Linked DNA regions of Neodiprion lecontei. The protein of the gene in region 1 interacts with the protein of each later gene in a pairwise test. Links are inferred from orthologs where the notes say so. Each region holds a gene or a part of one and is shown in the gene's direction. Other genes may lie near its edges.

Region 1 (8,042 bases):
CGATCATAGATGAAACGCTTATTAGTTAATATTGTTTTACCTTGAATAATTGAATCTTAAGAATCAATTCCTAAGGTAAAGCAGCCCCGTAGAACATTGCCTTAGATAACTGTACTTAATACACCCTGAATACGTGTTCAGTTTTGCACACCTGTGCCATCTTTTGTCACAAAATTTTTACATTATTCAATTGTTTAATCATAAAATTACCTAAATACAAAAATATTCCGATTACAGAAATGATATTAAACATACATGGGGCCACAAGCCAAAATACATTTAACATCAAACATCATAAACCTAGTGAGGCACGCTTTAGAAGCAAGTTAGCTGTTAGCTGGGATACGCAAAGCAGACCATATAAGGTAAAAACCAAGACACGAATTAGTTCAACCGTGGACTCAATGTAATAAATCTGTCAACCAAAATTGTACAGGAGCATAAGAGATGGTGTCCTATATACACGGATTTTAATCAAGCTCGGAGAGCCAGTTCAATATTAAATTCAATTAGTAAGGCCACTATACCCAAGCGTAGAATCAGTGTCAAATATAAAATCAATTAGTAAAAGTATAGCAAAAATTGTACTTTTTGGTGTAATGTCGAATAGATCTTAGTGCACATTTCATTTACAAAGTCGCAATATATATTAGCTTGAGATGAAACATTAACTCTTTTAGCAAAAATTGTTATCATTTATTATTCGCCTATCGAAATATAGTAACAAAACAAAATATACATATTACTTCTATAAAAAGAAGGGAATGAAGATAATTCTGTAGATTTATTTAGTCCAAGCCATCCTTCTTTTCCTTTATAGCTTCCTGAAACAATATTATTTATGTACTGTAATGTATGGAGAATATTCATTCGGTATAACATAGTTTGCTTTAGTATAATCTAAAAATACAAGTAGATTAAAATGACGAGTGGCAATTTGATATCATATTATACAAAGTGTTTTTAATAAATGGTTGAATGCAACTGACCCTCAACTTCAGTAAGCATTAATAATTTTCTCATGAAGCTTTCATTTTGTAAACCTGGTCTCGGGAAGGCTGGTCATTTTTTTTCAAATATGTTCAATATATGGTTCAGGCCTACCAATTGTGCTCTAATTAAATATTTGACCTTTGAACAGTTGCCTCTAACACAATTTGTAATTCAGATGTTTTTTGGGCAAGTGATTTTGAAATGGGATTATTTTATATAAGCCAGAATTTGATGACAGTAATGAAAGTCCCAAATTGCAGAAGACAAAAATATTAAAAGCGTGTGGCAAAGATACGAGGTGAATCGGCTTTAGGTGTTAGTGATTTCAATTTCAGACTGATTCAGACTATCTAATGCTAGCGGTTTTGCACCACCTAAAAACAAGGCACAAAAAAGTTCCAATCTACCGTAAACAGTGATTTGTTTATTAAACTCAATATTCATCAGATATTTTATTCAATTTTAGATATTTTGCGAATTATTGTGATTTGAATCCGAAAAAATTGAAAAATTCGACATAATGTTATTAAATTGAGAGAAGATATAAGATTTTTTTATTTTTCATTTTCGGCTAGATTTTTACGAAAAATTGACGGTGAATTAAAGTAAGAATTTTTTGACGTGTTATTTCAAGCGAGACCTCTAAATCTTATCCGATAGAGCTGAAACTTGCAGGGAATTAGTTTTTCACCAAAAACAACAGTTTTATGAGGAAGCAGAACTGAAAAAAAAAATTTATTTGCTTGAACTACTCTTGTATATAGCATAGGATTTACTCATCACTGAATATGTTTCATGTTTTGTTTTCTATCCACCCCATACTTTTGCGTTTGTCAACAAAGGGGATAGATATTTTCATTGTGACTAATCGTTATCCTTCAAAAAATTAAACCTACCTTGAAACGTTCTTCAAACAGTGACAGTTCTGCAATGAGGTCAGTTATGGCATGCATAAATGCTTCATGAGGCGTATAATCGGATGTTGTTTGAATACGGATCACAAATTTATGCTCCAACGGGTGCGGCAATTTGTATCCAGCAAACAAAACTTGAGGATCCTTTAACAATTGACTAAAATAAAAGCATAGACATTAATAAACTTATTTGTTATGACAAGGTCGCAAGTTTCAACTAAATTGAAAGAGACGGTAAGAACACTCCTTAATTATATCACTGTCAACTGTTCCCTATTTCAAAAAATCAATTGCTATCACTCAAAGTGATGTTGGCACAACATATTGTTGTCCTGACAAAGTGTAGTTTTTAAAACATAACTATGTGATAAATACTTTCGAATCATGTTTCCCAGGGTATGATCTTCCTTATTGACTGTGAATATTGCTGCATTGGGTACTTTTGAATCTTGTTCCTTGATGATTCTGCAAAAAGAATTCTAATTGTTAGAAGTAATCATTATCGCCCCAGAAAATTCACTCTCTTGGCTGAAAAGAATACTGAGGCTATTCGGAATATTCGGAGGGTTAGATATCAAGTGACAATAAGGTATACCTCTACCATCAAAACATCATGGCTATACCATCCTTCCGAGGGTATCAGCAATTTATGGCAATATTAACGGGTATATGGTTTGTGCTCTTCGAACATCATCGAGATATGAAAATTGCTCAAGTCTGTAGCGATGCAGTAAAAGAGACTGAATTTACTGTCAAAACTCATGTATGAATCAAACATAATTCTAATAAAGCTACTCTTTTTCCAAGTCTAATTCCAATGGTTAAAGCAAGATATTCCTCCGAATACAGCATTGGTGAACTGGGAGAAACCAATGGAATGCAAAATACACTATCTTAAAGTGCGGTAAAACATTTAGATCTTGACTTAGGACACTGACAGGTGAATAGTTTGTTTATATTAACCTAAAACCTGAGCTTGAGGAAAATGGTCTCAGAAAATGCTTACTTTTTCTCTCCATCATACAAGAGAAACGATTCGAAGGTCGGTGGCGCGTTCATGTTAATAGTTCAAATATTCTTTAATAACGAATATTATCCAGGTATCAAAGTGAGAAAATCATGCACCGCTAAATACACTTGGATAACTTCGGGGTTATTTTGCTCGAAGTGCCCGAAGTCACCTGGAAGTGTTGAAAAAGGAGCTCCCAGCGCTGAAACTGAAAATTCCCTAGGAGCGAGACAGAACTTGGCAATAATGCTATAGAGCAAGAGAGACAGAAAATAGCAATGATCTTTTATGTAGTTTAATATTCCCTGATTGGAGCGTTCCTATGCAAACGCTCATAACGACGCTGCATCTCACTCGAATGCCAAGTTTGTCCCACTTCTCTCTAGCCTGGGTATCTATGGCCTTGATCTATGGCTCGAGCATTGAAGAGCTCACGAGCCGCAAAGTAGTTGTCAAAATGGCGGGCGAAGGTTCGGCTTGCATAAATCCAAATGCAGAAATTATTCGGGGACAAGTGTTCGAAGTTGGTCCGCGATATACTAATTTGTCGTATATGGGAGAAGGAGCTTACGGAATGGTTGTGTAAGTTTCACAGGCAATATTTTCATGGCAAAAATGGCAATTTCATCATATGCATTGACCAGCATTGTGACAGGCGATAAGATAAACAATTCGAGCTCTTACTAGCCGAGACATGTTAACGATTCGATTATAATGATAACACGTCAGCTCATACGAGAATACTCGGCAATTTTTTCATTCTATGTACGTTTTACGAACCACACCTTTACGCCAGCTGCTGATTGCCTTTAATTGGCGCCACATTCAAATTCCTGTCACACCCCTTTCCTTCATTTCTGCAGGTTACGCCACGCTCAAGTTTAGTGAGACCTTGATTCGACTGCCTCGTACTTCTTTTTCCAAGTCTACATTTTTCAGATGTTTTGCGTAGTCAGTGATATATTGACTACGAATCCGCCTCTCCTTTATCAATTCACCTCTCCAAGAAATATACAACCTTTAAATATGTAAAAGTTGAAGAATCCAACTTGACACATGCAAAATTTCGGGGTCAATTGTCTAGCAAATAAGTATGAGAAACGTTTTGAAAATTCGAATTTTTAACACAGAGCGTTATGACACTTACCTTCGAAGTTTTGGATAATTTCTATGCATAAATATTTAGGAACTGCCCCTCAAAAACATGGTGATTATAATACAATTGACGATGATTCTAAACACAATGAACACACATCGAGTTGCTGGAAATTTTGGAAAGATATTTGACATTAAACATTAAACTAGAGGTTATGTTACTTGGTCATGATGTACAATAACAGTGCAGAAGCTGCGTCATTCTAGGCAGTCAAGCAGTAATCATACAGATTTTTGTATGTGATTAATGAAATTAATAAGTTAAGGTTCTCAAAGTATTATACTGTTTTGTTTTTATGATTTTCTAAATTTCAGACAACCCTAACATTGTGAAATAACAATTTTCAAAAATACATTGTTACATTAAGAGGGTGGTACATCGTGGTACAGCTTGAACGGTCTAAAATCATACCTATTTTTAGGAGTTTCTGTTTAAAGAAAATGAAAACAGAGCAACTTGAGTTTCAGGACGTTATTATTTGTAGTTTCAAGAACATGGTTGAATTTTTTCATTGAAATTAATAGCAAAATGGTAGCATGGCGCCTATAAGTAGCGAGCGACCACGTTTTCAATACGGTGGTGCAGATTCCTCGGTCAATTTTTATCTGAATGACTGGAAATTTTGACACAATCTGTAAATTTTGTTTATCGATTCGAGTTTGTGACTAGATTTTTGAATTTCAATACCAAATCTTAATATAAAAATTTTTGTTCATAACCGTATATATATGAAAAAAATATCAAGCTTGACTGATCAAAACTTCAGATACAGTTTTTGCAGTGGCTGAAATCGTTATTGCATTATTCGTAAAATTCAGTAAATGTATCATGAAATTTTCTTAAAAGTGGAAAACTCGTGAAAAACATGAAGGATTTTTACACATGTTAACAGAGAGCGATTCTTAATACGTCACTTGTTCGTATGCAAAGAACGATTTTGTTAGTTGTCAGGCATGTAACGTGCTTAAAGTTACTAACGTCCAAAATCTTCTTTCACTCTAAAATTATAAAATAGTGGTTTTTCCAAATTTTTTACTTTAATGTTACTAATTTAAACAACTAGTCATATATCGTAGTGAGCAGTTTTACCAGTTTCCATTGGAGAGAGAAAGTTTTTAATCAGACTCCATCTGGTGTAGAAAACAGATTGAAAACGTTTCTTTTTAGTTTCATTTTGCATTTATATATGTATCGTTCATTGAAATCCTGACATTTCATCTGCAAAGTGGAGGAAAATATTAACGTAATGTAATTTTAGAAAATGTCGTTATTTTCAACTTAAGAATTATCCAAAAATAGACTATACTTCTATATTGCAAATTCAACTCCGTTACAGTTATTTTGAAGTTTTGTAATTGTAATTTTTTGTTCAATGTTCATTGTGTTATCTTTAATAATTTCAATGTTGGAAAATCCCCAGTTTTTCCTGTCACATGTGTCTCAAGAACATATTTTGAATTATTTTGTGTGCGAAATTCAGTATTTCAAGAGACGTATCCACTTCGAATTATTTATTACGTAATTACTAAGAAATAATGTTAGAAGATAAGGTGACCATAAAACCACACGACTAATAGCAACCAGTTTTCCTTTAAAGACTGTGGATTGTACATTCATTGTGCGTGCAATGATTTGAAATGACAAGGCTGAAGCTAGTAGTGAGAGTTAGCAGCCAAATGTGCTAATGTTAATTCGAATAAGGTAGTGGTGAAGTCCGAAAATCAAAATTTTGTGAAATACCCTGAACCCCCAGTACTTTTATAGAATTATGAGCATAAAATTGAACTGTATTTTTCTAATTCCAAAACTACTCACTAAGGTTTGGCTGCTAGCTTCAGCTTCATTTTGAAATGTTCTAGATAAAAGAAGTTTCATCCATTTACATTTGAAACATGAAATTCACTACTACCCTTATCGTGCGGTACTACAATGTATTGTCATGCAGGGTTTTCATTATACCTGCAAACCAGAAAAGTCTGGAATCTTCGGAGATTTTTGTTTTCCTAAAAAAAACCAAGATATAGCCAAAGAATCCTGACGATTTATGGAAAAACTGAAATTTCAAAATCAAACTTTTATATTATTCCAAACGTTACGGTTGTAGTGTAACGCTTGGCATAGTTGTGTAAGCGAGAACTGATGAAAAATTGAAATCCGAGTTCAGTACAGAAATGGAACCCAAATGAAATATAATTTAAAATGATTGATTAAATTTCTTCGTTCATTGCATTAATCGTAAACTACACAATCGGTATCTAGATAATTACAATTTTAAACGTGTGAAAGTCAGGGAGTTTTATAATCGAAAATTAGTTCTATTACTGTATCATTTATCAGATTATATCTGTACGAAATTTAAATAATAGATTATAATTTTAAAAAAAAGCTGAGCCTGTTAGGTCGTTAACTGTAGTTTCTTTAATTATACTTTGGAGAATTTACTAAAGGGTGTTTCTTTTTAATTGCCTCAGGTCAATTACCCCAAAACTAAGCAACAAATCAAAAATCGTTTCATAGAAAATATTCAAGGTTTGAAGGGGTAAGAAAAGAAAGGTATCAGATTTTTTGCAATTGAAACCATCAAGGTCAGATGAAGGTCAACTTAGTTATTTTTAGATGGGATAGTATATCTTTTTTATTGGCCTCTGATTGGGCATCAAATTTTGCATAAAAAATGACTTACGTAGTTGTTGCCTAAACTCGACCGGTGATAAGATACCAGCCGGTCGAATTGGAGCAAGGTACCTTGTCAGTTCTATGGAAATACTTGAGGCCTCAAGTATTCTAATACTAAAAGTTGCCTGAATTATTTTCTGTGTTGAGCCCATGAGATTAGACAAAGAGTAGTATGTTTGTTGGCATGGTAGTTTATTTATTTGTTGTCAAAGAGTTGGGTGGGTTGAGATAAAGAAACTGCAAGACTATTACCATGTAATATATGGACAATCCTTGATGATCTATGTTACATTTCCAGTGTACAGACTTTCAATGATATCAACTACCCAGATATGGTGTATTAAATGAATAGAAACGATTATATGAGGATTTTTTGTGTCATTTCACTTAAGTAGTCAATGCCGATTTCACAAAGTGTCTAGCTGTCAGGGACATCTGGAAAACCGGAAACTATTAGGAAATTTGCATACGTCTGGAAAAACCAGGGAATTTCAGGGAATTTGATATGTCATTGACACTAGGCACCCTGTTTCAATTTGAACAGCAGAAACATCATATGTTTACCAAACAATGAGATGAATGTTGAATGGCGTGATGCATATATCGATAATTATTATAATTATAAAAAAAAATATTGGTATTAATTTGTTTTTATAATTTATTTTTTGCAGATCTGCGTACGACAATGTAACAAAAACTAAAGTAGCTATCAAGAAAATATCTCCCTTCGAGCATCAAACTTACAGCCAGAGGACTTTGAGGGAAATAAAAATTCTCACCAGGTTCAAGCATGAGAATGTAAGAAATTTTTATATAGACCTAATATTTATTGTGTGAGAGCAAAATGATAACCAATTCCTTACAGACTTTGAATATCACTCTGTTTTTTGCAACAAGTTTGACAAGAAGTATAGTATCACTTATTTTACTCAAAGTGCAGCATAATTCTGTATAAAAATTGAGACAACATGCGGTTTGTATCACCCATATGAAATCCTTAATTACTCTCAAGAAGTTAAACAAGTATGCGATTTCATATTACTCAATGAATCATAGAATTTTGACAAAACACATACTTGAAAAAAAAGAAACTGAAAGTAAAAATAAAATTAATGAAAACTCAATATCCTTGATACATTTTGAAGTCTGAAATAGAATACTTGCAATACTTACCTTAATCTGTATTTGCTTGCAACGAGCAGTAATTGTAATGCAGGTTTCAAATATTATACCAAAAAATATTATTCTGAATTCATATCTGTCTCATAGGTATATGTCAGACTAATTGATAATA
Region 2 (8,276 bases), on another chromosome or scaffold:
CGAAATAAAAGATATTTTCCTCATCCACGGGCATGAAAATAATCAATTATTCTTAGGTTACTATTAGAGAGAGTGTTGTGATAATTTTCTGAATGAAGTTCTGCAAATTAAATATTATTTCCAGTATACGTATTTGAACTCACCGTTACTCGCCACGGTTTTAAAGACGGCGAAAAGCCCGTTGTCTATCCGATATCCAGTTGACGTTGAATAATACTATTCTACGGATTGATGCCGTCGGACGCTCAACGTCACCTAAAACCCACAACGAGTATCTCGCGGCTCCATCGACGACGTACCCCTACCCGCCGTTCTGGGGTCAGACACGTACGGTTCGCCGATACTTGGCAACGTCGCAACTTCATATCTCTTTAAGTGCGCACGCGCGCTTTCGAAGGCTTTCGCTTTACTCGGAAGACCAGAAATTTATAATTCCGCGTGAAATACCATTCGAAGCGACGCGCGATGCCTGGCCGTAAGAGTAGATTCCCTGTATTCCACAGCTGCTAAAATACTTGCGCTATTTCAAATATTTACCTACATTTGCACCAGCTTAAGCAACGTCATCGATAATCGCAGCCAATCCAGCACTGCCAAGAAGGCCTGCGTCGTAAACGATCTAACTTCTACGCGCGAACGTTCGCGCTAACAGTTGTTCATATTTGCAATTGCTTAATTCGGATGAGCCACGTGAATAAAAAACACTTTCTAGGATTTATGTGACATACGTTGCACGATTGTACAGACTTACAAATTGGTAAGTTGCTTGACAAAATTGACACGTGCTGGTATATCACACGTATTAAATGGATACGACGTATAACATTGCGGGGACCGTAGTATAGGCTCTCTCTAAATTATTTCTCGATTACACGAACCCTCAGACGTGTAAATTGTGATCACAAAAATATTTTGCCAAGCAGATATAATATGATGTATAACGAATATATTATAGACTAGGATTACATTTTGGTATACACTATAGAGACACTACGCGAAATACATTACGGTGATTAGTTTTCTATGGAACATACCTATGGTAGATCCGATGAGCTTGGTTATGCTTCAAAGAACGGTAGACCCATCGGTGTTCTGGTTGGACTTTCCCGATCTCTTGTCTATTCTAATTTGTAGCGGAATTAAAATTCGATCCAATTCTTGAGAAATATTAAATTTCCACTTGGAGCAAGAGTAATAAAGTATAACATGAATGAATTTAATTTTGAATCCCTAAATCAACAACAAAATTGAATGAATTCTTTTCCCGTTTACTGTGCGGTGACTGTTCACTATTCCGGTATTTGTTTTATCCTTACAGTACGCGACACTTGAGTATATGTATAATCTCAGTAAATAGATTAACAAAATATCGCATAGAGAGGCAGAGCATTTCTGTATCGAGGTAACTTCTTAACTGCCTGCACCTTATTATGATAGCTAAATTGTAGATAGGTATACGTTCCGATCTATCGTACATACATTGCGAATCACACTACTTGAGATCGTAATTGAAATCCAAGATACCGCTAACGAATAGGTGAATTAAGTTACAAATAGTTGCGTCACAGAGTATGTAAAATTGTAATTATGCGGACGAACATTGTCATATAACGGCATTATTGCCGGTTGATTTAAATGAGAAGAACCTTCTCATCTTTATGTAGAAAACCTTTACAGTCTGTGCAAAGTAATACCCATACATTTCAACTTGTCGTCGCTCTTATCGACGCATTCAAATTTTTTACGACCACTACAACCAAAACGTGACGTGGTTCATCATTTTGCGAGCTATGAAAGAGAGGAAGGGGTGCCGGCTTTTGTGTCGATGAAGACTCGACGTTTGAAAATATCGCGGGGCCCGATACCCCTCGCTATACCTATATCGGCAGTTGTGCAGTGCCGGTAATAGAGATCCCATTTCTAGCCGGTAAGTGGTTCCCCGTTAGTGTCCTGCTATTCGGCCGGTCTATGATTTTGTCTGCTACTGCCTTTAGAAATTTGAGGTTATATACCCCAGCGTACATTCTATGAATTGTACCGGATACGTTTTGTGCGAAATTTTTTCGTAGCTGGGCTAACCTGTATAACACGTGGATTGCCAAGTGATTCGTAATTTCGAGCTAGTCGTTAATCAGTTCCCGTTGTCATTTACGAACACCGGTTCTGTCATAGCCACGTGTATGCGAAAACCGCAAGTAAATACTTCTGTATTAAACTCTGGGAGTTTTGGCTGTTATTGGATATTGGATTCTCAAATTGTACAAGAATGTGTGAAAATCCGAAGGACAAACTCCCTGCTGAATTGAAAGACGCAGTGCTGGTCCAGAGCGTATCCCTGCCCGCAGGTGCAGCTACAGTTAAAGGTAAGAAACCTGCGCTTGAGTCTACTTCTGCAGCAATGTAAAAGCTTGTAAATTTCATAGTGGGCAATTATCAACCTGAACAATTTCCTTCCCAGGATATGATTGGAATGCCGGTGTCGACTATCACACACTTTTCGAGAGCTACAAATTCTCAGGGTTTCAGGCTACTAACTTTGGTCTAGCTGTCGACGAAATCAACAAAATGATCAACGCAAGGAAGGTCCCGCTCGACGATGACAAGATCGACTCTATAGAGGAAGATGAATTTATAAAGAGGAAGAGCAATTGTACGATATTTCTTGGGTATACGTCTAATATGGCATCTTGTGGGATGAGAGACACTATTAGATTTTTGGTTCAACACAAAATGGTCAGTAATCTGAGTGTATGCTATTTTATACAACTATTTTCTCCATCTCCCTGTACATCAAGATAATCTCATACACCCCACAGGTTGACTGTATCGTTGCCTCGGCTGGTGGAGTCGAAGAGGATTTAATAAAATGCCTGGCACCGACTTACCTTGGGGATTTCCACCTCGAAGGCAAACGACTGAGAGAAAATGGGATTAATAGAATCGGGAATTTACTTGTTCCAAATGATAACTATTGTCTTTTCGAAGACTGGGTTACCCCAAAGCTGGATGCAATGTTGGCTGAACAGAAAGAGAAGGTAATTATGTGTGCTGCTCAGTATGTATCACGCTATCGTCTTTTACTTTGGCTTTTTGTGACACTTGAACGGATTTATTTCAGCAGTTGTAATTTTACCCTGACGAAAATTTCACATGCATTCTTTTTCTTTTTGTCACAGCATCAGAAATTGAGGAGTTAGAAATCCCGTTTACCGTTAGGTCGAAATAATGCATGTGTGTATGTTTTTTTTTTATTTTAAATAGAAATTGCTTTTTTACTAGACCGTTCAATGGTCAATGTTTTTCTGTTCATTCGCATTCTTTGTCCTTTCAAATTCAAGAACGTTCCATTCGCAGGGTACTTTGTGGACACCCTCAAAGGTAATTACGAGACTAGGTGAAGAAATTGACAATCCAGATTCTATCTATTATTGGGCTGCCAAAAATAAGATTCCAGTCTTTAGTCCCGCATTGACTGACGGTAGCCTAGGCGACATGATGTTCTTCCATTCGTTCCGAAATCCTGGCCTAGTACTCGATATATTATCAGGTAGTTTTTTAATTAATCTGAAGATATATTCCTCGATTATCAGGTAACAATCTAACTACAAGCTTTCAATCTACCCCATTTATTCGCGTAAACTTTTCTTGGTAGATTTAAGGCGTTTGAACAGTATGGCGATGAAAGCGGTAAACAGCGGTATCATCATTCTAGGCGGGGGTGTAATCAAGCATCATATTTGCAACGCAAATCTTATGGTAATAATCTTTGCGATAATAAGTTGTACACACATTTTTCATACCAAACTACTTTGATTACCGAATTGCTGAATTCCCTACAGCGAAATGGCGCAGACTACGCTGTCTTTTTAAACACAGCCTCCGAGTTTGACGGTAGCGATAGCGGCGCAAGGCCCGACGAAGCCGTTTCGTGGGGAAAAATCAAGAAAGACGCAACTCCTGTAAAAGTAATAATACCATTCATACTTTCTTCGTGCGATTGCGGTTATCACTGTAGAAAAACAAAAATTTCTGGCGTCAAAGAAACGTTACTATGTCGGTGGCTAAAATAATATTACGTCGCTACAGTTAACTCTGAATTAAGGCAATGAAACATTTTTCACCAGTAAAGAGGTGTTTCTTTGATCTGAAACATTTTCTCGATGTGCGCAGCAAGTAAAACGCACACAGCTTGTCTCTGTTTGATACTAACTGTTTTTTTTTTCTGTTCTATTTTCTGTCCGAACAGATATATGCCGAAGCTTCCCTCATCTTTCCACTTTTAGTCGGTGAGACATTCGCCCGTCAATTTCATTCCTCAAAAGAACGAGCTGTATCTGACGTATAATTTAATAAAGATATGTATTTTTAACCCACGCCAAATCTTTTCATGAAATAAGATAATATGCGAGTGCGGTACTTTCCTCGGCGTCAAATAAACGGATATTTTTCACGAAACACGAGGATGAAGTTAGTAACGTTACTCCAATAATGCATGTTTAGGATCATCTGAAATTTGATAAACCCTGACAAACAAAACATATTCATATTTTTAAAAGCCAACTCTTTGAAAGTCATTTAGAAATTGCACAGTAATGATTTTTTCCCTGACGTTTCGTTTACGTTAACGTCGCTAACTTCAGCCTCATCCTTCCTTCTGCAAACGAAGAAAGATGCTCGAAATAATTCTTAGAATAAACATTGTATCTCCATTAATACCGTCACGGGGATATTTCCGTTTCAGCATCAATTAGTTTCAAACAAACGTACAACGAACTAAAACTGAGGAACTACTGTCCTCGCAATGATAGGTATTCCAAAAAGTAGGCGCTCACAAACGTAGGTATGCCGTGCACAGAAGTAACACAGTTTCGTCGTTCCAATTGCTTTGGTCTCCCGCGCGTGACGAGCGGGCGAAGGGGTAGGAGGGGGTGGGGGGGTCGTAAGCAAACGTCCCTCTACCTGTCTCCCCGCAACTAGTCCTAGTTCGACGGGAGCTGATAAGTTTCGGGAACTATATGTGTCAAGCGGCTCGCTGATCACCTAGTTCCGTTTTCCGCGCGTGCGTCTTCGCCACCCCCGAGTATGGGGCATGTGCAGTCGACGGGGGTGGAAAACTAGCGGTTGTCAGTTGATTCCCGTTGGCCCGCGGTCGCGGACGGGCGTGGGTGGAGCAAGGAGTTGAACCCTGTAATCCGCCTCCCCGCGTTCACCCGAATTATCCGAAATACGCGTCTATATACCTGTAATATACGCCTGTATCAACTAAGCGCTCCTACGCTCATCCCCAGGGAAAAGCCCCGTCACGACATCCACCTTGTGCGGGCAAAGTTTTTCTTCGTATCTGACGATCATCCCTGCATCACCGCCCCAGCCCCTCCCCCTCCCTCAACGAAATGCTGCCGCTGCTCCACAATTTTCGACGGGAATGAACGACGATGGACGTACAGGACGAAACCAACACCGCGTCTACAGCGAGTTCGTCGCCGAGGCCGTCCAGTCCAGCTGCGGACTCCACCTTCATAAGGTACCACAGTTACCTATCCATCTGACACAAATACACCACCCCGACATTTATAGGCTTAATTACACTGCGGGTCCGTAATTCGAGTCTCTCTTGTTCGATTTTGACTACCCTGTTTGCCTGTTACTAACGTCGTGTATCTCTGTCGATGCGTACAGGCTTGGAAGGTGTGAGAGGATGATGACGACTTTTATATAAATCTTTATTAATTCAACGGTAAAAGTTTCCCGTGGTTAGTGGCAATCGGTTGGATTATTAGTAGTCGGTGGAAGAGGGGTCCGATTGTATATCTTTTGATACCTTGGTTTTTGTTATATTTTCGTCAGTTTTGGTTTCCATGGTTGAATGGAGAATGATTCCGATTAACTGAACCGTGACGAGAGTGTACAGATGTGAAAAACTCGAGTTACACTATCGAATTCTCAAATCTCGCAACTGAAACCCGAACATTTGATACACTAGTTATTATGAGTGAACAGCCATAGAGTTTGTTGAAACATCACTTCATATTCAATAACGCACCTTACAAAGTTTAAGTAGCGCTAATAGCGTCGTTTACGCTAAACTCGACTCCTGATGTATTATCGAAGTTTGAAAGTCGTACCGTTCATCTGTCTCGAGTTCAGATACGATAAGGCAGAAAAACTGACGATGTAAAGGATATAACAATTAGGTAGCTGTACGTATACGTATAAGTATAAGGGACAATACCGACTGCGGGGAAATAATACCTTGGGTAATTTTTCCTATCGATTCAACAAACCCGTTACATTTTTAAACACCGTCTTGCCATTCGAGGTATACACGTAGGTACGTTCAATACGTACAATACTCACATCACGGCACGCGCGCGTCGTCTTTAGAACGCAAACAATACTAAATTCTATACTTACAATCATGCAACTGTTTGTTCTTCTGTTAATTTAAATAACAGTCATTTCCGCAGATACTTCAATTTACATATGTATTACCTGTCAGCGGTTTGTTATTTGTCTAACGATGGTAATGAATTAAAACCAGCACGTTGTATTTCTTGGTTTCTTATTCCCATACTTATCCAACGTAATATGTACGTATATACGTATGTACGTATAAACCTTCTGAACGATATTCTTAAAGTTTCAACGCGAGATGTATCCACATGAAAAGTTTAAACGAAGACTAATGATTTGGGGTGCACAAATCGTGATCGTTATGAATACACATACTTTTTGCTTTGACGTTCGAACGAAGATACCTTCGCAAAAAATTGAATTTTCAACCAAACTGATTTACAACCTGCCACGCAGTACAGAAATTGTGGCGGAATTTCAGCGAACTCGGGAACTTGTATCAAGACCAAGATTTTCTCCCAGGGTCTTGGCGATTTGCAGAGCTTAATAATTCACGTGCATTAGTTAGGGAAATTATGTAATTCCGAAAATCTCCTTCGTTGCTGCGCTGTATATAATAAATCCAAGTTGTCGAGATGGAACTAAAAACAGTGTTTTGAATCATTGCTAGGAGTCTTGATGCTATTTCGAACTAGATTTATTAGGAAACAATTCCACCTGAAATAACGTTATTTTACACGCGACCGAACTTTAATCGGATATCAAACTTTTTTCGTCCCAAGCGTAATGCTGTTATAACTGTTGAGCGAAGATTACTATATTTGCTTACAAGTCTTACGCTTACACTATAACAGTGGGCTGAATGAAGCCGTCGAAACCAAATACCGAGTAACGTCATTTTGCTATGAAAACCGGGCTAACACAGTCTTCTTTCCTCATATACTCAAGTCTCGCTGCTTGCACGAAGGCTCACAAGTTGGTATCCTTCATCGGCGGAGCCTTGATCGTCTACCCATCGTACACAAACTCTCCCTTTCGTCCCTTTCGTTATTACACTACTCTGCCGGCCTACCTCACCGGGTATTTTGGAATGATCTAGTTCAATCGCGATCCATCCCGTGTATAAAGTGACGACGTAACCTAATGACTATCGATGCAGATCGGAATAGACGCGAGGATTAAAATTCTGGGGACCGCAGTTGTACACAATTTCCTTCATTTGTGAAAGATACCTCACATTGGTTCCATTGAGTGATAAATTGAGCTTCTCGGCGTTCTCTTTTTCCAATATTCTTCTCCTCTCCATGTTTCTTGTTACGTCGTATAACGGATACCACGGGATCTGAAGTTCCGCGGAATTTCGTATCCACAGAAAGCCCGCAATGCCAATCACGAGTATAGCGGTAGAACTCGTGGTGAAGTTTGTCGTGACGACGTACTTGCTTGCTTTTCCGCGACGAACGCACAAGGATACAGGGCAGATGAGGTTGCCGGAGTCAGAGGTAGCACGGTGCGACTTACGTGTAATTCCCTAATTCTCTACGCTCCGTTGATTCCACAACAGCCGTTTCCGTCAAGCAAATGTTGGCCGAATCGTTTCGGCAATGTAAATAATCCAGGATGCTTTTCGTTCCAGCGTGAAGAGAGAACCAGACTCGGAGGAGCCGAACAGCCCTCTCGAAGCCGCCAGCCCCGGGTCCGTCCTACGCAACAATGGTGAGTTGCCCTCAACGGTCTGGTATATAAATGTACATATTCGGTGTTCACCCTTTTATTTATTCAAGAGTTATACGAGCAACGTGACCCGCACATTGGCGAGTTACTTTTATTACATTCTTTATCGCGTGTAATACGTATATGTATGCATGCATAACGTATCCGTACCTACACCTAATGTATATAATACCTACAAGCCTTGAGTA
Region 3 (8,330 bases), about 12 Mb from region 1:
GTCGAGTAACAATTCGCGTATCCATAATTTCGAAGTAACCTCGGATCCGAATTTACGCGCAAATAATATTACCGTGCCAATTATTTATCGCTGTTTCGCAAAGTCAGCTGAGTAATAGTAATAAAAATAATAACCATTGAGGCATTATAATTGAGGAATACAGAAGAGGAGAGAAAAATCGCCAACAACAATGTTTTACTTTTGTAAGACTAATAAATCTCCCTGGCGAACATCGCGAGTTTAATTCGCTATACACAAACGCTTCATCAATTCATGCCTACAAACAACGATGATTTACGTTAGCAGAATAATAAATTTGTTTACTCTTTATTTGGAAATACCGCTGTTGAATGTAGGTAAGTAAACATTGCTTATTTTTTACCAAAACAATTGAGAAACTGTAAATTTAACCGGCCCAAGTCGATACTTTCCACGCAGATTTTGTTCATGTCCCAATAAATGTTGTAAATAAATTGCTTTACGTGACAAGAGTTTCAAATCCTATCGAATCCAGATTACTAATAACTAGCTTTAAAATCCTCGCTCGCTAAAGCTCGCTCGGGGTCGGATGCCTAGTGTAACTGGTTTTTGTGCTCGTGCGCTCGCTTACTAGTTTTCAGTGTTTTACCAGATGATACGAGATTTACCAGATACCTCACGCCCTTGATGCTTCAGGATTGTTCAATGGGTAATAAATGTTAGTCCGCTAGTCCGTGAAGTCGAGTTCCACCAGGTAGCGGACTTGGAGCATAGAAACTACGCAGCGCTTGTCCTGGAACTCGAGTTGCACCAGGAAGCGGACCCGGAGCGCAGGATCCAGGAGATAGAGAACCCGGTACTCGAAATCTGCGGATCGCGATTCTCATCCGTCCGCTCTAATGCGCGGTTGTTTCCAGACTGAGGAATTCGGCTAGCTGATTTTCGTCGTTACGATTACTATGGATCGATGACGTCAGAAGAAAAAAAAATTTTGAGTGACGTCACTTTCTGAACATCCGAACATCCGAATATCCAAAATTTGGTTTTGAAGTTTAATATTACTAATGATTCTTCGTGACAGCGACCGAATCACGCAGACGTCGTGTATTGGAAATTGGCAGTTTCCTGCTTCGATTGAAAAATTTGGTAGTACGCGGTTTTGCATGATACCTGGTTGTGATTGCATGCGAATAGAGCATTAAAGTCCAGTACGAGAATTAACTTTCACTTTAAGGTTGTGCAATTGTTACCCACTTTTGATTATTCCCTCTCCGAAGCGCAGGCAAATTAAGGTTCCTCTTATACTGTTTGAATGAAAATCGGGTTCTTCCTTTTCTAAATTACGAGCATCCAAAAAGTTATTTATTATTGATACCGTCCTCTGGGGTTCAAGTAATTCGCGTTCACCAATCACCAACATATTAAGAAGCGTATGGCGTGTTGCAGAGTGGAAGCCTCGTGTCTGGCTCAAGTTTCCAAAGAATGGAATAAGAAGGAAAGAATTCCATCACGTCCACGACTATTATCAGGCGGCAGGGATATAGTTAAGATTGAAATGTGAATAGCGGTGGTGGGGGTACGACAAGTACAGAACGTAAAATATTTATCAGGTCCTTTGGAGGTGTGAAAAAAATTTAAAGAAGCTCCAAAGAAAAAAAAGAAAGAAAAAAAGAAAGTGGTAAAAATGAAAAAACAAAAAATAAGATAAACTTCTGGGATTAGAGGCGATGCTGAGATTAAAGGGTGTTTGTATCAGATGGAAACCCGGAGGTGCCTTCTCCTCCTCCTCTTCCTCCTCCTTCTTCTCCTTTGGAGAAGCATTGCTCTTCGACCTGAGAAGCCGGGGTTGGGCGTGTACTTACGTATAACGTGGATATATACGCGGATTGAAGTCTGTGGTACGGTTCACTTCAGGAAGGAAGATATCCGTCGACGCGGCCGGCGGTAACGTAGCAACCCTCGGTGGCGAAGACAGACGATGTCCGGTAGCCCCGAAGTCTCTCGGCAGAAGTTTACCTTACCTCGGTATAAATAAAGTCAATGATCCTACGAAGTTACCTAGAACCAGTTGACAGCAATCCCTTATTATATGCGCACACCGCCGGTTTCTTTTATCAACATCGCGTATTATACATATTCACGAGCGCTTCTCTGCATATGGACTCTGAACGTCTGCATTATACTTGCGCAATACCGGCGGGTCTTTAATTATACACTTCGTATCGGCACCTGGAAATCTTGAAACCTTTATCAAATAAACTGAAAACAGTTTAAAAGCATCGATTACTTGACGTCAGAATTTAGAATTGATTTTAACGATTATACCATACAATTGTTATACCCCGATTAATTCGATTGAATTATTTTTCTTAAGCATGTGATCGTGAGTGCGAATCCTGCGGTTGGAATTTAAATTGCACCATTTTTTTTAAATTTTTTTTTATTTTTATAAGAAAAAAAATGAAACGATTCTAAAACGAAGTGAAATGTTTGAAATATCCGGCAAACAAATTAGCATCGATCGCCTTTTATCGAGTGCTGATAGTTTCATCGAATATGAAAATGAAGAATTAGAGCTAATATAAAAGTTGAATTTATTTTACAACGATCGAATTCGACGACTACTTTGAAGTAATGAAACGAAGAATTTGTCTAGAATTCTATTTCAGATAGCGAATATCTATAATTGTCAGCAAACAAGTTCTATAAGCTAGCTGCTGCATGAATAGCATGAAACGATTAATCGCGGCGGTAATGGGAGGAACGGGGGTCCATTCTCGATCATGCGGACGCGAATGGCGATATAAAGAGAAAAAGGCCGTAAGTAAAGTCAAGGGGCCGTCGTGTGTTCCCGGTGCTTGCCGAGTAAATGTAGAGTTAGTGACTTGCGGCGTTTGGCCGTTGTCGTCGGCACGGCTTTCCTATCTCGCTGCTGGAATCCCCATATGTCCGTCAGCGCGCCTCGCCAACACCTCGGAATCACTTGAGAGAGAGAGAGAGAGAGAGAGGAGCATCGGGATCTTCCGCACACTTTGATGCGAAGCTCCTATGCGTCCGCTCCTATTTGTGTGTCTTGTTCCTCTTGCGCTTGCCTCGGCCTTCCTCGTTTTCTCCTCTCTCGCCTGCCGCCACGGCTCGACCAAAATACCACTCGATCTTTGCGTACAGTGGCCAACGCAGGGGCGTCTTTTACAAATCGCGGGCTATGGCTGCACCACGTTATTTACCTGTACCCTCTTTTACCAGATTTCAAACGCCGTCGTTCCTCCCTCTGGAACTGAGGCGACGGCTTCGAAATATTTTTATCTTCCATTCCAGAAATTTATTGGCGCGTTTTAAACATGACGATATTTTGGAGTAAGTTCTGCTTGTTAGCGGATAACAAATATTACGCAATGATATAGGAGGAATATTGCACTCCACTGACTTTCTCGGTACTCGAATCGAACTCCGTACAAATCGGTCGCCACTGAGTTTTATCTCGAATAATTACACCTGCAAGTAAAAAATAATTATTCTAGGTTTTTAACAGGAAAGAATAGACGACATTAGTCCAACTCGAAAATTATAAACTGGTTGCACCGATAGGTGAAATATAAATTTGCCGCAAAGAAATCTATCAGTGAGTTTAGGGAATTTTTGGACAAAATTTTTGACGTTGCATGGCATTTCAATAAAGTTACTACACCCGTTTGTGTGATATAGCGAATGGCTTGATGTTTTAATTTATAGAAATAAATACCTGCATATCATCGTTCAAGCGAAAGTGCGCAAAGCGCGTTTGAAGCAGGTTGTACGATGGACTAATTATTATTTTTCGGTGCTAGCGAACACTGTTTCCGTTTCGCGAACGATGTACGAAAAGCAGCACAATATAATTGCAATACTAATTACCGTATTACAAATTGTTTGCGGGTAACTGACTTGTAAAAACTTACTCTCTAGCTTGTAACAAAATTGACTGAACTGTAAAAGAAGCTTAATTCAGATCGGAGGCAAGTCAGGAAGCTATGCAGTTTTTCATAATTCGGAAAGGTTCTACTATAGTTGAGAACGGTGACTAACTTGAAGTGCTTGAGATTCTTATTAATTATCATACATACTCTTCTATTCGAAGACCACTTGAAGTGAAACACCGAACGTTGAGATTCCACGTATTCATTTTTAATTTCACGTCTTTAGAAGAGTGATGGACACCGTTCAAAGTTCCCGCTGCAGGTTTCTTGACTCCACATTTCATCGAGGCTGCTGGGCTTGGCCGTGCCGTGGCGCCACTCTACGAATAAGTCAATCAGTGTCCACGACTCATGGCATCACCTGGAAAAGTGACAAAGTGTCATGGCGTCGAAACGAGTAAAAGTCGCGAACGTAACCTCACTTTGATTGTGTTTACATTAAATACTTGAAAAGTATAAGTTTCTGTTCAACGCAATCGAAGCTTGCTGTAGAATCGTGATAAATTTACGTTCGCCTGAGGGGCAAATGGGCTCGCCGATGGACACGCCTGGTTCACAGGCGCTCGAGGCAGCGAGAAACATAAAGGAGTTGGCAGTGTTTAAAAAGCCAATTGGGGTGGCGAAACGAAGAAAGGGCTGCAAGTCGACGATCCTCGATGAGGATACGTACATCGGTAAGATGGCCGAGATCATACAGAGGGACTTTTTCCCTGACCTTGAAAAGTTGCACGCTCAGAACGACTACCTCGACGCACTTGAGCACAACAACATAAAGAGGATGCGCGAGTTGTACGAGAAGTACAGTTCAGGACGACCCATCACGGAGCGGCCGGTGAGTCCTGCAACGTTTGAGACTCCTTTGCGGAACGGAAACACCGACGAGTCCGTCATGGAAATGCCAAAGTCTACGGAGATAGACGTACCTACTAACGACGCTGAGACGGAGGTGAAGATGGGTCTTGATGCTTACTTGACCTCTCATACAAGCGAGGACAACGCAAGTTTTGAGGAGATGATGGTAGAGTCGGAGAAGAAACACAGGCTTAAATACTCGTGGCTATATGAGGTTGAAGAAAAGTCTAAAGTCTTGGCCATTGAGAGGAACAAAAATGAGACGAGATGCATTGAGGGTAATTATGAAAAACCCAAGGAACTCGACGGCTGGAGTTACACGAACAAAAATTATATCATGTATGTGCCTGACGGCGTTGAATTGACTCCTGAAGAAAAGATCAATCTGGCTAAGAGGAAACAGGAAGTCATTCACGACAATACCAGACTTAGAATGAATCCTTTTAACGAACAACAGAATAAGGAAACGATCAACGAACTTGCCAAAACTCAATCAAAGGTTAAAGACGGCAAGATTGGAATCGATGGAAAAGAAGTAGTTCGTAATCCAACCCCGAGGGTCAATGGATTTAGCTTTGTTGCAACGCCAAGTCCTAGACCTGGAGAATGCGATAGCCCAATTATGACTTGGGGTCAAATAGAAGGGACGCCATTCAGGCTGGATGGAGGTGATACTCCGCTACTTAGAACCAGCCATGGGCCAGCATTCAGAATGGCTGAGCCTCCGAAAAGAGAAAAAATTGCATTACAACTGGCAGAGAAAGCTGGAGAGAGGCACAGAGACCGGAAAAGTAAAGCCTTGGAAGCTGCAAGAAGATCCTTGGCTAGGTATACAGTCTTAATAATTTTCATTCTTCTCATGCAGAACAGTTGATCCCTGTGTTTATTTATCAATTCTTGCACTATATAAAAAATTTCACACTAATCAGCCATTCTAATTCTTATATTTTTCAATTACAGTCCATCACCCAGACCTTTATCTGCGATGGATCGTTTGAGCACGATGTCACCAGCTGCGAGGAGATTAGCGACGCAAAAGTTGCGGCTTTCAGGAACCCCAACTCCTAGAAGATCTCGACAAACAAGAACTCCTTCTATAGGCGTAAGGACGCCACACACACCGATATTTGGCACACCTGGATCTAAGAGTCAAGATTCTGCGTTGGAAAAGACATCGACACTGCAGGGTCCTGTCCTTACCGATAATCTGCTTAATTTACCAACGCAAAGACAGAGAGCTGCTGATTTTTTCAATAAGTGAATCGATTTCATTCTAAATCTTGATAAATGCAGAGGTATGTGTATAAATTAAGCAAAAGCTGTATAAATTTAATTCAAAAGAATTCTACCACTGATATGTATTTCACGTCTGTTCCTTACTCCGTTCAATTGTTAAGTCGATGCTATGCAAATATTGTAATATATCTTAAGTTTTATAATGTCCACTGGTTACTTGTATTTACTCATTAGTTTGATAGGAGTATCCTGTGTTTATAAGTGTAAAATAGTTGAACGATATACTACTAGTTTTCGGCTAACTTCACTTGCGTGTTTCTATATTTCGCTGAATGGAAACACTGTTAATATTGTTCAAGTTTTGTAAATACGTACTTAAGATTAAGTTTTATGTAATAATTTTTTTGGGGAGATTTATTATATGCAATATTTATTATTGATTTGGTAATATTGACGAATGATTAACACTAATTTGCGATTCCATTAGAAATGAATTTACGAAAAGTCATTACGTCATTTTTTTCCGATGGTGTGAACGCAAAGGTAATATGCTGGTAGATACTCACGGATAAGCTCGATAAGCATTTTCACGAAAAATATTATTCACAACGTGCCGAAATTTAAAACAATCTGTGTCAGAGTGATGAATAAATGAAGTTCTTACCGACCATAGTATTGTCGACCTGTTTATTTTTTCCTATTTTTGAATAGAGATCCTTCTGTGAGACAATGTCCAGCCAATATCTATTGAATAAATAATTTGGTAAAATTTTAAAATGTTTGCTCGATATTAAAAACGTATATTCAAACGCAAAGTATTATGCAACAAATTTGATTTGATCTAGATCGACGAAATCTGCTAGTCCAGAGTCAAAGTAAAAATTACAACGCTCACATTAAAGTATTTGTGTATGTTATAAAAGAAAAAGGACAGACTGTGATTATTCTGGGCCCCTAGTTCTGTAATTTCATTGAGAGTGCATTAGAAAATGATATCTGCTATATCGCGACGAATGAAACCTACATTCGAGAACTTCACTGATCAAAAATTCCAGCAAAAAAAGGAGATCCGAGCTGAATCTCATAAATCGCCATGACAGTACATGAAGCTGTGCATTTTCATGTTTTTGCTCCCTCCTGAATTTGAGTGAATCAAAAGCCCGTCTAAGAAATAGTTCAATTCTATGACCAACGCAAGCTTGTTTGATACAATCGTACGTCAACTGATAAATCGTAAAATCTGGACGTGCCAGAAATATTTTCGGCTTCAATATTTGATTGCAGATTAAATTTTTATAAAAATATTCAAATAGTTTACCACATTGATTTGTTTATGATATTGTTATATGCTGTTGACATTAATTCGAATCGCTTCCACTATCCCGTTATACGGTTGAATTGTCATTGATATAAAACCATAAGTACCAATATTTCACTGACAACATATTTCAGGATATCGATCGGTTTCGAAGAGCATGCTACTGCAGGAGAATTGGTTTTAGTTCAAAAGTCAATTTGTATTATATTATATTATTCAGTTACGCCAATTATAAATCCTGATTATTGAAAGGTAGAGTTAAGTTCACGTACCCGACGTTGGTGATGGACATCGGTGACCTTGGCGCATTGTTCGTAATGAAACACCCTAGCGCTGCTTCTGACTTCCGTATTTTGATTTTCAAGACTGTTACTTCCGGTAATAAAGTCGGTAGCACTTCGGAGTCGCAACCGATATCGAACTTGCCTTATGTGACGTCGGTAAATTAAAAAAATCTGTTTATAATCAATTTACCGTTCAAAAGTTAAACAAGGAACACTCCTTGTGCAGACCTTGAGTGTTTTATTGAATGATTACGAGGTTTTTTTATTCGTGCGTATAACTTCATCCAAGCAGCAAATGTTGATTGTTTATCCCACCGGAACTCAAACGAATAACATTTGCTAATAAACCGCACGTTGTGGGGCTTGCAAAATTGCAACATCGGTTTAAAATGGCACGCACGATTCGTCGAGGTATAAGTAGGTGTCTTCACAGTGGACCTGGAGGACTCATATCGGTAATTTTAAGAGAAACAAAACAGAAAGGTGGGCAATAAGAGAAACGGAAAATCACAACGCAATTAAGCATGAAGACTTCCCAGATACTGTTTCTGGGCCTGGCGCTTTTCCTCACCGTTCAACATGCCGCCGGTTCTCACCGCCACAACTGCGGTCTTGGACCCGGAATTGACGCCTGCGGATGTTCCGAGGGCATCGTAAAAGCCGCGAAGGTAGCCCGCCCGTTCAAATTCGCTGACCCTTCCGTGA
Region 4 (6,746 bases), on another chromosome or scaffold:
GACAAATATATCTCGTCATCTAACTGATTGTGAGCAAAAGTCAAACCGAAGTCTGTTCTATAGTTTGGCAGTTCGAATCTCGAGCAAAATCAAACGGCGGCGTCGTATCAGAAACTGAAATACGTTTTATCCGACTTGCGAATAATTGTAGTTAATTGCGTTACTGAAGATTCTACCAATTGCCTTAATTAGCCTAAAAATTTCAATTTTATTTTTGATCAGAACTGTTCCATGATTGAACCGCTACACTGAACTGAATGTTTATAGTTGCTTGTACCTAGCTGTGATTTTTCCAACTAATCTAAATGTGCAATTCCGTTAACTAAGATTCTTTTACACCAGATGAGTATGATCTTGTATTGATCAAACATTCGTTGAATCAAAAAGTACGATATTGTGATTAACAAAATGATTTTCATTTTAACTATATAGTACAGATTGTTCGAATTGATATTTCGTTGACTGTACATCCTCGTATTTGTGTTAAATTATAAATTAGTCAACAGAAGTATTTTTACGTTAGTTCGTGTAGCTTATAAATTGTTCTGACAGTCAAATATTTGTTTTGCCGCCCGTGTACTCCGCATTTATTACTTAATCGAAACAGTTTTTTTTTTTTGTTTTCATTCAACGACTTTTTCTTCTCAGTGTATTGATTGACTGATGCAGAAAATACGCGATTCAACCTCGATCCATATACTTTTTGACAAAACAAACCACAATCGAATGAAAGCTTCGTTGTCGAGATAAAAGTGCTAAACACGGCGTAGGTTCTAAAATACACCCACCTGTTCATCTGTCTTCTCGTATAGTATATTCTCGTATACTTTACAAATATCTCTTATTATAGGCATTATAGCCGCTGGTATAGGTACAAAAATGAACCAAAGTATAGTTTACATGACACACAATATTGTTCCGGTACACCTTGATTGCAATACCAGTAGCTCATCAAAAAATATATCTACCAAAAATATTAAAAACAATCCTTATTGCCAAATACAACGTAACTTTTTCGCGAAAATAGCTTATGTGTAAACGAAAAATAAATAATTTAGGACGGAAGAAAACATTTAGAGTATAGAAGTAGTTCGCGGGCAGTTTTAGAAAATGTATAAACTACAAGATGAATAAATGCATCTTTAAAAGACGCTTCAAATCACTTATTGATCAGCCATCATGTCATTTTTGACGTATTTTGTAAAAATATTTTCATAATCATATACATGCATTAAGAATCACATCAAACACCTTAAATTATTTCACTGACAAGTAATTGTGAAAACTTTAACGTTGGAACTTGCACGCCAGGGAATGCAAGTAATTTTGCAACAATCAAATGTAAAGAAAACTGTCACCTCTAAAAACAAAACTCAATTGACGTTAGTGATACCCCCTATTTTTTGTGGCTTCTGAGCCCCGGTACAAATTCTTTTGATATATCTCGAACAAATTCGTCAGTATTTTGCCATAATTAAGGAAAAAGAACTTTTCCTGGGCACGACGGATGCCTTCTAAAAATGTGACATATTTTTTTTTTTAATAACTTTGCACTCTTTAATTTTACCTACATTGAATACATCTTTCATTATCTATCAATATATATATATGACAAAAATAATTATCTTCCGGAGCAAATGGCCTTTATCTAAAATATAATTTTTTAAAAATCTTTAGAAAAATGTTATTCATCTTAAATGAATGTTGCATACATTCAACACATATTAAACAAACCTCTAATAATATCTCAGTATAAAAAAAATAAAAGTTCTCTTTCGTCAATATTTTGGGGGGTCCGTCGTGCCCCGGTCTCCCCTATACTAATATTTACGTATACGTACAGATAAAACGTAACATCCGCGCTGGAATTTCAATGCTTTGTTTACCATGTTACGGGGTGGATAATTGAGATCACGACGAGCGGCTATATCGATGATCGCATCACACTCAGCCGTGATGTTATTACCGCTTATTTTGGATTCGTAACCCGTTGACTACGGTCACGTAGGAAGGATCAGAGGAAATGAGAGGAACTTGTATCGAGGAGTTGAATGTTTAAGTATAGTATGTAATTGATTTATTGTCACAGGTACGGAGAGTACAGTGAGAAGATTTGGGGAAGGGAAAAGGCAACAGAGATGAGTTTGGATGTTGGCCGAATGGAATATGACTTAAGAGTTAGCACATGAGAAGAAGCATGCAAGGGACTGGCTAGTTACAGTTTACTAGTAGAAGGAGCATTCTGCTGATGCGGTATGGAAACCGAGGCAGCGAGGTGATGATAAGAAGTGGATCAGGATATAAGGTAGCTGTAAGAGTGTGGGAAAAGAATCTAAGGTCTGGAGGATGTAACAACCGTACCAAAGTATTTGTTAATTGAGAAAACCTCATATAATTCCTAATTCAATTTTTATAATTAAAAAATGAAGAATATATTATGGGATAGAGGGGGGCTGGTTCGACGATTTTCAAACCACCTCTATGCTCACCTAAGATGTTATTTTGGTGAATTTGGGTGCGGTCTCGTCGCAGTCCGCGATCCGGGAATGATGGAATGAGTGATAACGAGGTGGAGAAGTTATACATTTGGTTGCTTGAATGCTTTGTTAGAACTGGGATTAGGCGTAATTGTGTAACTAGGCGAAGTGAGGCAGGAATAGGTGAAATAAATATTTAGAATGCAACGTGACGTTGGTTACTTGAATTGAGGTGCTGTACGTTGACGATTGTTTAGACTATAGTCAATTGAATAATAGAATTGAATTTAGTAGACTGGTCGTAGGTGCTGAAGTTAACGGGAGAAAACCCTTTACAATGTTCAAAAAATCGATTTGTTTTCGCACATTTCGAAAGTATAATATATTGAGAGTATACTAGAAAGTCGAACAATCCGAATATGAAATACTAACGAAGTTGTAGGACCTGCACCTGCATTCTTGTCTAAAAATCGTTGAAATCTCAGCCTACATTTCTGTTGGGGTATTTAATGAAGGCTACAGTGCCATTTTGAAAATGATAAATGCATTAGATATAAATTGTTAGATTAATTATTCCAAAGTCTTTGCTGAAAACACCGATGAGGCGCGGATAGCGAGGCAGAACCGAAGGAGTCTTTTTGATAAAAAAGTAGCTCGCACAGCTCGAAAACAACAACTCGAAGATAATCAGCTCTCTGAGGAAGCTGAAGGTTTATCATATGCGCCTGGAATCGCTGATTGATCGGTAAGGCACTAAAACTAATAGTATTATCGTATTGAAACTTTAAACGCGATTGTGTCAATCTAATGATACGTGTCAATCTAACAAGTCATTATCCCCGCGGTATTTTAAAGTTACATTCGACGGTGATGGGTTATGTCATGTTTATTGAGATTGAGTTTGTTTCGTGCTCGGCCGACTGTAGCGCTGTAGATTTCTCAGTGTTGCCAACATAACTCTCTAGTGTAAAAATTAGCTGTCACAGATTCATTGTCCCCAAGTGTACATACTGCTTAGGCATATAAGGACTATAAGGTACAGTATATGCTCTAACAATAAGTCATACTGGTGTTACATAGGCCGTGTTCGTAAATTGACTGCCAGTACTAAAAATTCCCTAGGACAGAGACAGAGCTGTCCATGAACTCGGCAGCGCAAAAGAGATAAAAGATTGCTGACAGTACTGTCAGTCAATTTTTGAACACGGCCATACTAGTCTCGCTAATCGTAAGGCCTGAACCAGCCCCCTGACACTCACCACTGCTCGTCTACTAAAAAATTGTACGCGTCTTGTCCCCGTTTTTTAGTTCCTCTACGTGGCGCTAGTAGATTTCTGACACGCTCGCTGCCCTCGCTGAAGGCGCGCAAGCTCGTCAGGTAACTACTAGCGCCATTAGTGGTGGAAATTGGCGGCAGAATCGAGGGACGTTTTGCGAACCACTTTTAGAAGCGTGTGTCAGGGGGCTGGCCTGAACCAGAGAACGAAGAACGGTCAAGTGCACGTAGATCTAACTTATGAATTAATATTAAAAAATCTGATGAAAACGTGCGCAAGGACAACGAAATGAATTATTGATAGTTCAGAATATCTGCGTAAAAAATGCGCGGCTTATTACAAGTGTAAGGAGTGTGTTGCGATAATATCCGAGGGTTATAACCTCAAAGCGACCACAATATCACCAAACTTAACCTTATGTACCCTAATTAACTTTGCACGATCAAACCTATTGAAAGTTGTATTATCATTGCTTTTTAAAATCGCATAAAATAGTTGTAGATGACTTACTTTTAAATTGTACCGATGAATCACGACCCTTGTGTTATCTGTTTCAAACATTGTTCTTCAACTGCTATATTTTGTAAACAAGTACCAGCAATCTGTCCCGTATGTAATGCTACTATATTTGAATACTTATTGGAACCGTTCCGTCTACCGAATCCCTTTGCCAACGCCAGGGAATATCCAGTGACGGTTGTACTAAGACCATCACTAGGCGATTTCTTGAACGATTACACGATCACTGATGATTTGCATATTGGTGTGGTAGATTCTAAAGGGAATATATTCGAGTATGATAAACCTGGAGTGATAAAGAACGACTTTTCTAACTGGCTAAACTGTTTGGCGTTTGACATTGTACCTGATTCCTGGACGGATCATTGGGACACAACAATACAAAAAATATCAACTGACGAAAAATGGTCTTGCCAAGATTATAACCAAGATTCTTTCAACTGCTTCAATTTTGTTCTTGAATTTTTAACTCAATTGAAGTATAGTGGTGCGTTATTTGCTAGTAAGGAAGAATTTTGTGAACGCTTTGTTATTCCTAAAATTCAGGATGCTCTGAAGTTTGTCACCCTTTACAGACAGCTCAAATATGTTGATCATTTTTGCTGAAATACTATAGATTTGCTTGTGTGAGTTGTCTCTAATATAAATCCTCGACCTTTGTTAAAACTAATATATAACTCAGTGATCACTTCCAGATAATTAAAAAAAAGATTTCTCTCCTGTTTGTAGTGCTATCATAGCTTGATTCACATACTGTCTTTAATTTTGATCAAAAATTAAATTTATGCTAAGAGAAATTGTGAACAATGGCTATCTCTCAACTAAGAAACTGTGTATTCAAACTTAAACATATACAACTCTATCAGCGGTGTATTGGAACAGTAGTTAGTGATAGTAACTATGAAAAGTTTGACGTCATCGTCGTTGGAGGTGGGCATGCTGGGACAGAGGCATGTGCTGCGGCAGCTAGAATGGGGGCCAAGACTTTGCTCGTTACTCACAAGAAGAGCACTGTCGGTATGTTGGCATAAAAGTCAAGAACCCGTTACCAAACTACAAGAATCCCAAAAATAATCTAATTCAAATTTAGACAACATAACATATTTGATAAATCTCAGTTCAACAAATTGATATAATTTAACACAAAATCATTAATTTTAAATTTTACCATGACTTTGAAAGTGTTAACTTTTGAAATACAAGTTATATTTTGCTTTATGATGGTATACTTAATTTCAGCCAGTCTTAAAGTTGTGAAGTTACGATTTTTTTTAAAATCAACATTATTACAAATAGCGTTACAAACTTCAACCTCATGATTCTAATTAGTGTTTTCTTAGTACAGGCGAAATGTCTTGTAATCCATCATTTGGCGGAATTGGAAAGGGTCATCTGATGCGAGAAATTGATGCGTTAGATGGAGTTTGCTGTCGAATTTGTGATAAATCAGGAATACATTACAAAATACTGAATCGAAGGAAAGGACCAGCAGTGTGGGGTCTTAGGGCCCAAATAGATAGAGTATTATACAAAAAGCATCTGCAGGCTGAATTATTTTCTGCAAAAAATTTACACATATCTGAATCTCCAGTTGAAGATCTCATACTACAAGGAGATTCACCTAAGTGCTGTGGCGTTATACTCAGTAAGTGTGGTTCTTTTGAATATACCTCCAGTGGAACTACCATTTGAATCATCATGTTGAATGATCAATTTTATTTTCACAGAAGATGGAACCAAGGTGTTTGGAAAGTCTGTTGTCATCACAACGGGAACTTTTTTAAAGGGCCAGATTAACATTGGTTTGGAAAAGAGACCTGCTGGGCGATTAGACGATGAGCCTAGCATTGGCTTGGCTAATACACTTGAAGACCTTGGATTTAGAATGGGAAGGTTAAAAACTGGTATGTAAGCTAATGTTCAAACTCATTTTCCTTATACCTAGCAAGTACTAAAAACGACTTGACACAAATTTTGAGCTGCTATGTATCACCAATGTTGTCCTTTGCCAGTCATATTAAAGAGATCATAAATCTGTTAAATATTATTTCCCGATTCAAGGATTTGTAACTTATTGAATTCACTGCTGTATATTATAGTGTGTAAGGTTCTATATGTCTGCATACTTCTTAGACCTAGGCTTACGAGTCATTCAAAACATTGAGTAGATCATAAATCATCTGAAAAATCCTGCTTTGTTCAAACACTAAAACTGCAAAAATGTAAACAATTACAGTCCGACCTCTGAATAGTACCCCTCTCTCAATAGTTCCGCTTCTCCAGTTTTCTTTGCAAACTGTTCCTCCTACTACTCAGCGAACTAGCCGTGAGCTCGAATTTCGTATACCTACTTCTCAATAGTTTCGTCAGTCAAAACTTTTTTTCATTGGTATTTCGAAGCATTAGAGCGATTAGAATTATTGAGAGATAAGGGTAAAGCCTCACTGACCAGTGCAGTGGTACATAGTGGGGG

Evidence for each region.
Region 2: the proteins of mitogen-activated protein kinase 1 (region 1) and probable deoxyhypusine synthase interact in a two-hybrid assay, tested with the Caenorhabditis elegans proteins (2 studies listed by BioGRID). The link is inferred for Neodiprion lecontei from reciprocal best matches to the Caenorhabditis elegans genes mpk-1 and dhps-1.
Region 3: the proteins of mitogen-activated protein kinase 1 (region 1) and splicing factor ESS-2 homolog interact in a two-hybrid assay, tested with the Caenorhabditis elegans proteins (3 studies listed by BioGRID). The link is inferred for Neodiprion lecontei from reciprocal best matches to the Caenorhabditis elegans genes mpk-1 and ess-2.
Region 4: the proteins of mitogen-activated protein kinase 1 (region 1) and MKRN2 opposite strand protein interact in a two-hybrid assay, tested with the Caenorhabditis elegans proteins (3 studies listed by BioGRID). The link is inferred for Neodiprion lecontei from reciprocal best matches to the Caenorhabditis elegans genes mpk-1 and W10D9.3.

The regions. Positions count from the first base shown.
Region 1 is NC_060262.1:23,227,016-23,235,057, forward strand, and holds the start of mitogen-activated protein kinase 1, read left to right. Parts: upstream 1-3,284; 5' UTR 3,285-3,313; coding exon 3,314-3,498; intron 3,499-3,988; exon of another isoform or gene 3,989-4,007; intron 4,008-7,419; coding exon 7,420-7,546; intron 7,547-8,042. Other genes in the region: DNA-directed RNA polymerase II subunit RPB11, read right to left, coding at 789-824, 1,890-2,064, 2,283-2,372, 2,914-2,966. UniProt on the Caenorhabditis elegans protein: Functions in let-60 Ras signaling pathway; acts downstream of lin-45 raf kinase, but before the lin-1 gene product in controlling vulval cell differentiation. Plays a negative role in proximal germline proliferation in the mitotic zone.
Region 2 is NC_060261.1:43,917,043-43,925,318, reverse strand, and holds probable deoxyhypusine synthase, read left to right. Parts: upstream 1-1,905; 5' UTR 1,906-2,266; coding exon 2,267-2,363; intron 2,364-2,458; coding exon 2,459-2,733; intron 2,734-2,816; coding exon 2,817-3,035; intron 3,036-3,354; coding exon 3,355-3,547; intron 3,548-3,652; coding exon 3,653-3,756; intron 3,757-3,839; coding exon 3,840-3,965; intron 3,966-4,246; coding exon 4,247-4,345; 3' UTR 4,346-4,373; downstream 4,374-8,276. UniProt on the Caenorhabditis elegans protein: Catalyzes the NAD-dependent oxidative cleavage of spermidine and the subsequent transfer of the butylamine moiety of spermidine to the epsilon-amino group of a critical lysine residue of the eIF-5A precursor protein to form the intermediate deoxyhypusine residue.
Region 3 is NC_060262.1:35,269,699-35,278,028, reverse strand, and holds splicing factor ESS-2 homolog, read left to right. Parts: upstream 1-4,276; 5' UTR 4,277-4,461; coding exon 4,462-5,615; intron 5,616-5,747; coding exon 5,748-6,048; 3' UTR 6,049-6,695; downstream 6,696-8,330. Other genes in the region: uncharacterized protein LOC107224703, read left to right, coding at 8,150-8,330. UniProt on the Caenorhabditis elegans protein: Regulates pre-mRNA splicing.
Region 4 is NC_060264.1:10,409,557-10,416,302, forward strand, and holds MKRN2 opposite strand protein, read left to right. Parts: upstream 1-4,091; 5' UTR 4,092-4,279; coding exon 4,280-4,879; downstream 4,880-6,746. Other genes in the region: protein MTO1 homolog, mitochondrial, read left to right, coding at 5,080-5,290, 5,619-5,918, 6,001-6,177.